Linked DNA regions of Oryctolagus cuniculus. The protein of the gene in region 2 purifies or fractionates together with the protein of the main gene of each other region. This does not show direct contact. Links are inferred from orthologs where the notes say so. Each region holds a gene or a part of one and is shown on either strand. Other genes may lie near its edges.

What was found. Proteins that work in one complex are often made in the same cells at the same time.
Region 1: the proteins of RRS1 (region 2) and NPM1 purify together in Homo sapiens (affinity purification with mass spectrometry; 3 studies listed by BioGRID and IntAct, counting the BioPlex papers as one, with this or other methods). This does not show direct contact. The link is inferred for Oryctolagus cuniculus from reciprocal best matches to the Homo sapiens genes RRS1 and NPM1.
Region 3: the proteins of RRS1 (region 2) and NIFK purify together in Homo sapiens (affinity purification with mass spectrometry; 3 studies listed by BioGRID and IntAct, counting the BioPlex papers as one, with this or other methods). This does not show direct contact. The link is inferred for Oryctolagus cuniculus from reciprocal best matches to the Homo sapiens genes RRS1 and NIFK.

The regions. Positions count from the first base shown.
Region 1 is NC_091437.1:58,117,861-58,121,607, reverse strand, and holds part of NPM1 (nucleophosmin), read right to left. Parts: coding exon 3,726-3,747; intron 3,212-3,725; coding exon 3,118-3,211; intron 2,812-3,117; coding exon 2,705-2,811; intron 2,614-2,704; coding exon 2,546-2,613; intron 1-2,545. UniProt on the Homo sapiens protein: Involved in diverse cellular processes such as ribosome biogenesis, centrosome duplication, protein chaperoning, histone assembly, cell proliferation, and regulation of tumor suppressors p53/TP53 and ARF.
Region 2 is NC_091437.1:92,090,180-92,093,897, reverse strand, and holds RRS1 (ribosome biogenesis regulatory protein homolog), read right to left. Parts: upstream 2,301-3,718; 5' UTR 2,182-2,300; coding exon 1,072-2,181; 3' UTR 576-1,071; downstream 1-575. UniProt on the Homo sapiens protein: Involved in ribosomal large subunit assembly. May regulate the localization of the 5S RNP/5S ribonucleoprotein particle to the nucleolus.
Region 3 is NC_091434.1:128,346,751-128,350,030, reverse strand, and holds the end of NIFK (MKI67 FHA domain-interacting nucleolar phosphoprotein), read right to left. Parts: intron 2,374-3,280; coding exon 2,314-2,373; intron 2,198-2,313; coding exon 2,090-2,197; intron 1,446-2,089; coding exon 1,257-1,445; 3' UTR 611-1,256; downstream 1-610.

The DNA of each region.
Region 1 (3,747 bases), about 34 Mb from region 2:
TCATACAGGTGATGGTTTGAGTCCTGACTGCTCAATTTCTGAATCAGCTTTCTGCTATGGCCTGAGAAAGCAGTAGTGGATGGCCCATGTTCTGGGGCCCCTGAACCATGGGAGAGACCCAGAAGCTCCTGGCTCCTGGTTTTGGATCAGCCCAACTCCAACCATTGTGGCCATCTGGGAAGTGAACCAGTGGTTGGAAGCTCTCTGTGCTCTGTTTAACTCTTTCAAATAAATCTTAAAAAATAAAAAAAATAAAAAAAAAAAAAAACCCTAAAGACACAAAAAATTCACAGTAGACTTAAATCTAATGACAATATTCAACAGAATCCCTACAACAATGCTGACTTCCTTGGAAAAATCTGTCCTAAAACCACATAGGGTTCTCACTTGGTGATTCAAACAGTAATCTAAGACCTATATGAATGCTGAAGCTACTAGTATATTTTCACGACCTCAGATTTGGCAACGGTGTTTTAGGTTTAACAAAAGCAAAGCAAAAAATTCTGTACTTCATGAAAACGAATTTTTATGCAAAGGCTACCACCAAGTTACTGAAGATGGCAGAAAATGGCAGAAAGTATTTGCAAATCACCTAAGGTACTTGCTTCCAGAATATAAAGAACTCTAGCAATTTTTGAATGAGCAAGGGATCTGACCAACATTTTTCTCCAAAGATATACATATGGTATATGTCCATCACCAGTCACCATGGAAATGCAAATCAAAACCACAATGATACTATACACCAGTGGGGTAGGTATGTATACAACCCACCACTGGCAGGAATCATTCAGGCACTTAGAGGAACTGCCAGGCTTTTTTTTCCCGAAGAGTTAAACCTCCAGTCACCATTTACCCGAAACATCTAGAATAGGCAAATCTACAAATATAAAGACCAAGTTCATTCGTTGAGGAACATGAGGAGTCACAGCTAAGGGAAATGATTTTTTCAGTTACACCATTTTAAAATGATTTGTGCAGCTAGTGACGTGGTGTCGCATCTACTCCACTTCAGATACAGCTTCCTGATAACGGCCCAAGAAAAGGTTCAAGGAGCTGGTGATGTGCCGCAGTGGGTTAAACCAGCTGCAGTGCCAGCACCCCGTATGGACTCCAGTTCAAGACCCAACTGTTCCACTTCACATCCATCTCCTCTGTGGCCTGGAAAAGCAGAAGATGGCCCAAGTCTTTGGGCCTCTGTGCCTTCACGGGAGATCCAGAAGAAGTTCCTGGTTCCAGCTGTTGCGGCCACTTAGGTAGTGAACAGATGGAAGATTCTCTGCCTCTCTAACTCTGCCTTTCAAATAAAAAGTTTTAAAAATAAATCGGTTTAAGACATAAAAGAATCTGTCTTTAAAAAAAAACTTCAAAAGGCCAAGTTTTAGACACTTCCCACTCACTGATACTCCTGGCTCTTGGCTAGGCTCCACCCTGACTGCTGTAGCCACTTGGGGGCAAATCAGTGGATGTTAAGATCTGTTTCTCCCTCTCTCCTTAACTCTTTCAAATAAATGTAAAAACAGAAAATTGTTTTTAGGTGATGGCTGCACAGGGTGTTGATTCCAGGATCCAAGTATTCCACAATCCAGGGATATTTAAACCACTTATAAGAGTGTCCGCATACATATACACATACATATACTCCAAATCACCTCTAAGTTACTTCTTACACCTAACAAAAATGATGAAAGATTAAAAATCAAGTCTGTATTCAGTACAGAAGACACTGTCCAACAATACTAGTATAGAATCCAGATATAAATTTCAACTAAGCTGTGCCATACCCTTTCCATCCTCAAAAGAGGATCTCCCTTTCACCTTGTTCTTTGTTCAAAGTCTACTGCCAATTGGCTATTTCATCTTTTCACATCTTAACCATCATCCATGCCATGCTCTTAACCCTCAGCCCCCTTGAGGCAACCATGACGTCCCTTAGCACACACATGCTTTTGACTACCCTCTCCTCTATTCGAAAATGTGCTGATTTGGACCACCCATACTTTACTTTCTCCCTAAGCATTATCTACTTACTATATACACAAAGGGACAATTCCGACACTGTGGTTACATTTTAAAAAGTAAATCTACTGGGGCTGGCACTGTAGCACAGCAGGCTAAGTCTCCATCTGTGGTGCCAGCATCCCATAAGTGTGCCAGTTTATGTCCCAGCTGCTCCCCTTCTAATTCACTCTCTGCTTATGGTCTGGGAAAGCAGTGGAAGATCGCCCAATTGCTTAGGCTCCCAAACCCACATGGGAGGTCGAAGAAACTCCTGGGCTCATTGCTTTGGTTCAGCCCATTTGGGGAGTAAGCCAATAGATGGAAGGATTCTGTCTCTACTTTCCCATTCCTACCAATGCTGCATGCTCTACTCTTAGGAAAAGCCACAATGCACAGCAGCATTTTAAAGGCTCAGTCCCAACATTTTTTTGCTGACAACCACTGACCACATGAATCCCTTTAATTATGAACTATTGCACAGAATAACTCTGGTAAATCATTTCCATAAAATTACCACCCATGCACATAAAAGCATGCTACTCACTCTTCATCATCATCATCGTCGTCGTCGTCATCTTCATCATCTTCTTCAGCAGCAAGCTTTACTTTTTTCTAAAAAGGAAAATATACTTATGAGCAAATGCTGATTGTTACCACCTAACAAAGGCTGTAATGCAAATCTGCAGTGAAATGACATCTCTACCTGTGGCACCTTGCTGCCACCTCCAGGGGCAGATCGTTTTCCAGATATACTTAATAGCTTCACATCCTCTTCCTCCTCGTCTTCTGATTCTGCATCTTCCTCCACAGCTAAAATAAAATTATCAGACATTTATTTTAAAACTCAAACAAGAATCATTCAGGAAAAATAAAGATTAATACTATAGAATGCTGAACACTTAAAAATCCAACAAAAGGACAGCAAATGGCAACAGAATTTTTTAAAGGATTTTGTTGTTAAACATGCCCTTACTATCATTAATTTAAGGTTCTCACTGGAACTCACTATAAACAGTAATAGTATAACCAAGCCTGGTTTAAGTACAAACCAGAAGCCAAGCAACTGCAGTATATGATATATATATATATACAATGCAGTATATGAAAAGAACATACCTACTAAGTGCTGTCCGCTAATATGCACAGGCCCTGAACCACACTTCAACCTTAAGACCACAGGTGGTGTTATTTCAAAGCCCCCAAGGGAAACCTAAAATGGAGATTTAAGAACAGCATTACAGGCAAATCCACACACCAAAATAAACCAGTGAGTCTGTTTCCCCCTCTATTTAACAGCAGAAACCTTTTTAACAGCTGACCATTCAACTCTAGTGACAGAAACATGTAGCTATGACTAATGGGGTAAAGAAGCACCAAATAAAATTCCACTTTCTAGGGCCAGCACTGTGGCAAAGTGGATGAAGCCGCTGCCTGTATTGCCAGCATCCTGTATGGGCAACTGCTCCACTTCTGACCCAGATTTCTGCTATGGCCTGGGAAAGCAGGGGACACCTGGAGGAAGCTCCTGGCTTCAATCAGCCCACCTCCAGCCACTGCGATCACTTGGGGAGTGAACCAGCATTGGAAGACCTCTCTTTGCCTCTCTGTAACTGACTTTCAAATAATCTTTAAAAAAATTTTTACTACTGCTTGTAGTAACCTAAATACCTGCATTAAAACAGAACTAAATCCTGACATAAAATCCCAAATCCAAGCACCCTTACCGTTGGCTGTACAGACATTTTC
Region 2 (3,718 bases):
AAAGAAAAGACAAAACGCCTCTTATCCATTGTCAGACCAAAAACAGTTGGATTGCTTCCAGCACTGTGGCAGAGTTCTCAGGAAATGTAGTATTTATCTTTACACACGGAGGAGCTGACCGAGATCAAGCTGGAAGAAACTGATGGGACAGGGAAGAGACCCAAGACAGCTTTCAACGTTTCACCTGCTAAACAACCCAGCCCAGGTCAGTGTAAGCACCGTTCCAATTAAGGATGACTCTGTGGGCCACTGGCTTCCCCAGTGGGAAAAAGCAGGGTAGATTCATAAACGTTGAGAAACATTGAAGTATTTTTCAATTAATGAGATTTGTTGGTATTTAAATTCTTGAGTTACAGCAATGTTTTCAGTGCTGTAAAGCATGAAATGTTTCTTAAAGCAGCTACCAATTGTACTACATTATTAATATTGAATTTGATTCCAAAAGAAGTTATTTTTCTAATAAAAGTGGCTTTGCTGAAACCATTATAATTTAACTGCTTTGTGTTTTCAGAAAGTGAAAACACTAGGAATGCAGGTTGCTGGCCTTATACATTTACCACAATAGTCAAAAAAAGTTAAAGTCAACACTGGATACAGTTACACTTTATTAAATAACCATTACATCTGTTTCTTGTAAACCCAGTTCTGAAAATATCTGTAACCTCCCCCACTGCTGATAAATCTACATACTTGTTATAAAAATAATGCAGAAATGTATAAATCAATCTGTTAAGGTTGGGAAGTGTGGCCGGCTCTCCCTCACCCCATATCCAAAGTTAAAAAGATGACTCTGTCAGAACTCATTCCCAGTTTTCATCAACACATTGTTTCCCTAATTCTTAACGTCCTCTGGCACATCCTTAATCTCCAGCCAATCTCAGGTGTGGGGAAAACATCAACCCGGTAGAACTGACAACTTACAGGCTCTCGAGGGGAGGGCAATCCCGTCCCGTCAGCCTCAAGCTCTCGGAAGGCAGCAGCCGCCTCCCCCGCCCCCGCCTATGGTCCCTGGATGTTAACATTTGGCACGTGCAGGTCTTGGTTTACAGTTCGGGTCCCAGGGTGAAACTGCTACTTCCGCCTCTTTCCTCCTGGGCGCTGTCCCCCTCCTCCCCCTCCTCGCCTCTTGCCGCCCAAGCCCGGCGGCCCGGAATTCATCTTGCTTCCCGAGCCCCCTTTCCGCTTCCCCCCGTGGCTGCGCGGGCCCCCTTTCCGCTGGCCCCCAGACCCCTGCCGGCCTCCCTTTCTCTTGCCCTTCTGGCTCATCTTCCTCTTCTTGGCGGCCTCCTCTTGGTCCTCCTCCCTCATCTGCTTATTGGTGGCCTTGGTCACATCCAGCTTGGGCTTCTTGCTGTTCATGACCCGAAGCAGCTCCAGCTGGTTCTTTTTCTCAGCCGAAAAGTCCCCGAAAAGGGGTTGGAACTTCCTCTTCTTGCCGGAGCCCCGGGGCGCCTTCTCTTTAGGAAGGCGCTCTTGGAAGCGCCCCAGAGAAGCGGTGGAGACCTTGGCTATTTGCATGGCGCGGCCCAGCTCCTCCTTACTCTGGTGTCCCGTAGGGTGCAGGCCGGCCGTGCTGGGCAGCTGGGTCTTGTGCGCGCGGGCCAAGTTACGCAGCCGATTCAGCTCGTTCTTGGCCACCCGTTCCTTCTTGGCCTGAATGCGCTTTGCAAACTGGTCCTCCATTGGGTCGGCGCCGCCGGGCACCTCGATCAGCCATTCTTTGGTGTCGTCCCGGGCGCGCTGATAGCCCCAGCGGCGCCGCCACTGCCCGCTCACCTCATCCCAAACCAGGTTGGTCTTCTTCTTGGGACGGATGCCCTTGAGGCGCGCGAACTGCTGCCATCGCGTAAGCGGCCGCGGCCGGGGCACCGGCTTCTCCCGCGGCAGGCGGGTGGTGGGCTCGGGCAGCCGCGCCACCAGCGCCTCTTCCACGCGTTCCGTCGGCAGCTGCCACAGCTGGTTAATGAGCAGCTGCGTGTTGTCCCGCGCCAGGGCCCGCAGCTCGGCCTCCGGAGCGGGTCCCGCCCGCCGCAGTCCCGTTGGGGGGTTCCGGTCGGAAGCCAGTAGATTGCCCAGGTCAAACTCCAGCTCCAGCTCCTTGTGCACCGTGATGCGCTGCAGCTTTTCTGCCTCGTCCTTCTCCGCCTTTGCCAGCAGCTCCTCCACGCTGTGGCCCTCCATGGCTCCGGCTCGGCTTAGTCACTTTGGGGGCCACAGTTGAAGCGACTTCTCTCACGACTGCCGACCCACAAACCGGCACAGCAACCACGTGTGTCCGCCCGGACGCTCAACCCGGAAGAGAAAGGTTCACTTCCGGAGCACCCGGAACCGGCTCCATTCCCACGACGGACAACGGGCCAGCAGAGGGCGGTGTTGGAGAGCTGATGGAATTAGAGGCGGCCCCTTTTTGCTCGTGTCTGGATGCAGGTAAACTGGCGCTAGGAGCCTGTACTACAAATTCTGGAGCCTGAATGGGACTGCATCTCCCAGGATGCAGCGAGGCAGAGGGGTGGTCAGAGAGGCGGTCCGGGATGGGGCGCGGGCTCGTGCAAATGTGTATGGGGGGCAGATGATGTGGGTTCTGGAACAACTAGGTGTTAACGATTTTAGTGTAAATCTGTTGTAAAGATATTTAACTAATCATGCTTCTAGGGGGTCAAATTGTTTCACCAGAGTCATAATCCGCTCTCAGGGTTCTGGGTGTGGACTGAAAAAGACATATCCCACAGATTTACATAAAGCTAAGAAGATTGGTTATCTTTTGTATTAAGCAGAGCGGGCAAACTGTCCTGAGTGGGCGCAGGTGCGCGCCGACCCCAGAGCGCTCCCGCAGAGCCCCGCGTTTCTTTCCTCTCCTGGAGAAAGATGGCCGGGCTCTGCAGTTACACTGCCTGGCTTCCAGTTCTGGTTGTGACACTGAGCTTTGACTGTTTGACTTGCTTGGGCCTATGTTAAAGCCTGTAAGATGGGGTTCTGATGCTGGGGCTGTTATAAATATGAAGGGGTTAGTGTGCCTCAGAGGAGGCTTAGATCAGGGCTTGGAACGCCAACAAAAGTTAAGTACAGATTATTACTTAATCTTCATAATGGCCCTGGGAGCTATCTGAAGAGGTATTGCTATACTCTAGGTGGTGTGAGTCAAACTGCCTATAATCAGATCTCAGTTTGTCATGTACTATGCCTACAAATATGCCTATGGACAAATTTTCTAACCTAAGTCTTATTCATAAGTTTGTAAATATGAAACAGTTCGTGGTGCATAATAAGAACACAATACATATTAGCTATTATTGTTATTAGCTGTGTATTCGGCATGTTGTTTGTGCTGAAAAAGGAAGGCTCAGGGACTTCAGAAAAATTATTTCTCTAAGGTTATACAACTAGGATATATGGGAACAGGAGGCATCTTAACTCTGCCCTTAAAACTACATGCAGTATGTATTCTCTGAAATGTCCTTCAAGCTCCTGATAATCAAAAAGTGTGGCCAGCTGACCAGCTGCACAACATCACTTGGGAGCTTGTCAGAAATATGGAGTGAACAGGTCTCACCCCAGAAGTAATTTATCAGAACCTACATTTCGATAAGATCGGCAGGTGGTTAGTATTCATTTGTACATTGAAGTTTGGGAGTCACTGTTGATCGTATGGTTTACAGGGGTGGGGGGAGAGAGCTTCTTTTCCCTGGGTTCTAGAGTTACTGAGGAGGGGGTTGGGCTG
Region 3 (3,280 bases), on a different chromosome or scaffold from region 2:
TCTTCCTTTACCGTTGGTTCACCCTCCAATGGCCACGGCGGCTGGTGCACCACGCTGATCAGAAGCCAGGAGCCAGGTGCTACTCCTGGTCTCCCATGCAGGTGCAGGGCCCAAGCACTTGGGCCATCCTCCACTGCACTCCCGGGCCAGAGCAGAGAGCTAAACTGGAAGAGGGGCAACTGGGACAGAATCCAGCACCCCGACTGGGACTAGAACTTGGGGTGCCAACACTGCAGGCAGAGGATTAGCCTATTGAGCCGCAGCGCCGGCCTCCCCCAAGACTCTTTAAACACCCATCTGTAAATGGATCTCTCAATCTCAGAATCCAATTGCACACTGATGATATTGACTTAAAACAAGTATTTAATCATGCTAACCTACCAAAACCTACATAACTGGAAAGTGAGTCATATTTCAATCTGTATCAACACACAAATGAATCTGTACTAACATTTGAATAGCCTTCTATATATTCGCACTTGCAGTTTCAAAGACCAGATATTTCTGTGTAAAATACCCTGACAAGTTAAAGGTGTACAACTACTATGTCAGTGAGATTGGTGGTCTTCATTTGGTGGTGACAAAAATGCTGCACTTTAGTACTTAAACCTTTTCTTTTTTTAAAAAATATTTATTTACTTATTTGAAAGAAAGTTACAGAGGGTTACAGAGAGTTACAGAGAGAGAGAGAGAGAGAGAGGTGTCTTCCATCTGCTGGTTCACTCCCCAGATTGCCACAGTGGCCAGAGCTGTGCTGATCCGAAGCCAGGAGCTTCCTCTGGGTCTCCCACGTGGGTGCAGGGCCCAAGGACCTGGGTCATCTTCTACTGCTTTCCTAGGCCATAGCAGAGAACTGGATTGGAAGTGGAATAGCCGGGGCTCGAACCGGTGCCCATATGGAATGCCAGCACTTCAGGCTAGGCATTACCTGCTGCACCACAGCGCCAGCCCCCTAGTACTTAAACTTAATGATGACCAGTTTTTATGTAGGCAGAATAACTAAGGAGAGCTATGAAAGCTAAAAAGAAAACAAGACTATGACAAGGACACTATGAAGCCAACCACTGCAACACTGTGCCTTAGCAAGGGCAGACAAGCCAAAATCACTGATTGGTTTCCTGAGTGATGCAATCAAATAGCTTGTTTTTCTCTGAAAAATCCCATCAATGGTTGCATTCCGTAGTATCACAGTAATACTCAGAGTCATAAAATCATCACATTTTCCAGAAGATATATTATACAAAATACACTCAGAATCATGGATTGCTTTTTCTTCGTCTTTTCTTCCCTGAACGTGCAGTTGTTTGAGTCTCTTGTGTTTCTTCTTTTACATCAGATACAGGCTGTTTGAAAACTATTTCATCATCTTTCTCATCATCTTTCATTTCAGCTGCTTCAGATTTTCGTCTCTCCAAATATGATGGTGTACAAACTGGTGTGGGGCCCTGGAACCAACAAGTGGAAATTTGTAATACACAAATGTGGAGTGACTTCAGGAATGACTTCACCCCAGACAATCATATCCCCTCGATTTTCTTTCTTTCTTTTTTTTTGACAGGCAGAGTGGACAGTGAGAGAGAGACAGAGAGAAAGGTCTTCCTTTTAGTTCACCCTCCAATGGCTGCCACAGCTGGTGCGCTGCAGCCGGCGCACCGCGCTGATCCGAAGCCAGGAGCCAGGTGCTTCCTCCTGGTCTCCCATGCGGGTGCAGGGCCCAAGCACTTGGGCCATCCTCCAATGCACTCCCGGGCCATAGCAGAGAGCTGGACTGGAAGAGGGGCAACTGGGACAGAATCCGGACCCGTCTGGGACTAGAACCCGGTGTGCCGGCGCCGCAAGGCAGAGAATTAGCCTACTGAGCCACGGCGCCGGCCTCCCCTCAATTTTCACAAAGCTGTGCCCTGTTATTTTAGGCCTGCTTCTATTTTTGGTGATGTAACAGCAGATAAAGTTGCCAAGTCACCACTAAAGTCCTACCAAAATATCACAAGGTTAAATTGGAAACCTAACAAAAGGACAGTAGCAGAAATTGCTTCTCTTCCCCAAACAGTTTTTACCATGGTGCCCAGAATATTGAAGACAACTTTACCTGGCTATCCACAGTCTTCTCAGGAGTGTTAGCAGTACCTGAAGTCTTTTTTTTCTTCTTCTTAGGTATGCCAGAAGTTTTCTTCTTCTTTGAAGGTACATTTACCACCTTCAAATAAATTTTAAGACTTTAGCAATCTATACATTTACCAACTATGTGAATATACATTTTTAATTCTTTTTCTATTATCTGCCATATAATTCAAAAATTTTTAAAAAATTTACCTGGCCATTTGTAGATTTCTGAAGATCAGTGCTTCCAACATTTTTCCCTTTCTGTAAAATCTACAATAAACACAGAAATTAACAACAAGGAATCTCTTTTTTTTTTTTTTTTTTTAAGACTTATTTATTTGAAAGGCAGAGATATAAACAGAGAAAGAGAAATATTTTCCGCCCACTGGTTCAATCCTGAAACGGCCACAGTGGCCAGGACTGGGCCAGGCCAAAGCCAGGAGCAAGTTTCTTCTGGGTCTCCCAGATGGATGCAGGGGCCCAAGCACTTGGGCCATTTTCTGCTGCTTTCCCAGGCCATAGCAGGGAGGTGGATCAGAAGTAGAGCAGCTGGGACTCCAATAGGTGCCCATGTGGGATGCCGGCACTGCAGGCAGTAGCTTAACCCTCTATACCACAGTGCTGGCCCCTCGTCGTTTTACTTTTTATACATAACCCATGTATTATTAGGGAATCTTCCTTAACTGACAGAGCATTTCAATTTAAAAGCAAAACCCACAAACATAGTGAATACAGTGGTAGAACTGTAAGATGGGTCTAACTGAAGGACTGGCAGAAGCCAGAGGTTGGAGGGAAGCCAAGACCTGGAGCTGGAGGACGACAATCCCAACTTCAGGAAAGCAGGAAGAATGTGAGAGCTCAACCTACGTGTATCACGGTGGCAATGAAGCCAGTTTGCTTTTCCACTAAATAATAAGCAGGGTGCAGGGGGAAAAATGCTTGTCTGTTTCCAAGCTTCACTGTCCCAGCTGCCAAATGCAAGGAGATGACATGATGTTCTAGTATGTTAATGACCATGTTTAGCATTTGGACAAAGAATTGAGAATCAGGAATGAGGCCACAGGAGGATAACTCCATCTTCTAATTTCTGGATAAGGCTTTGAGACTTAATAAACTTGGGAATAGGTACCATTTCTTACCAACTACTTTAAAAAGAAAATTAATTTTATTTGAAAGG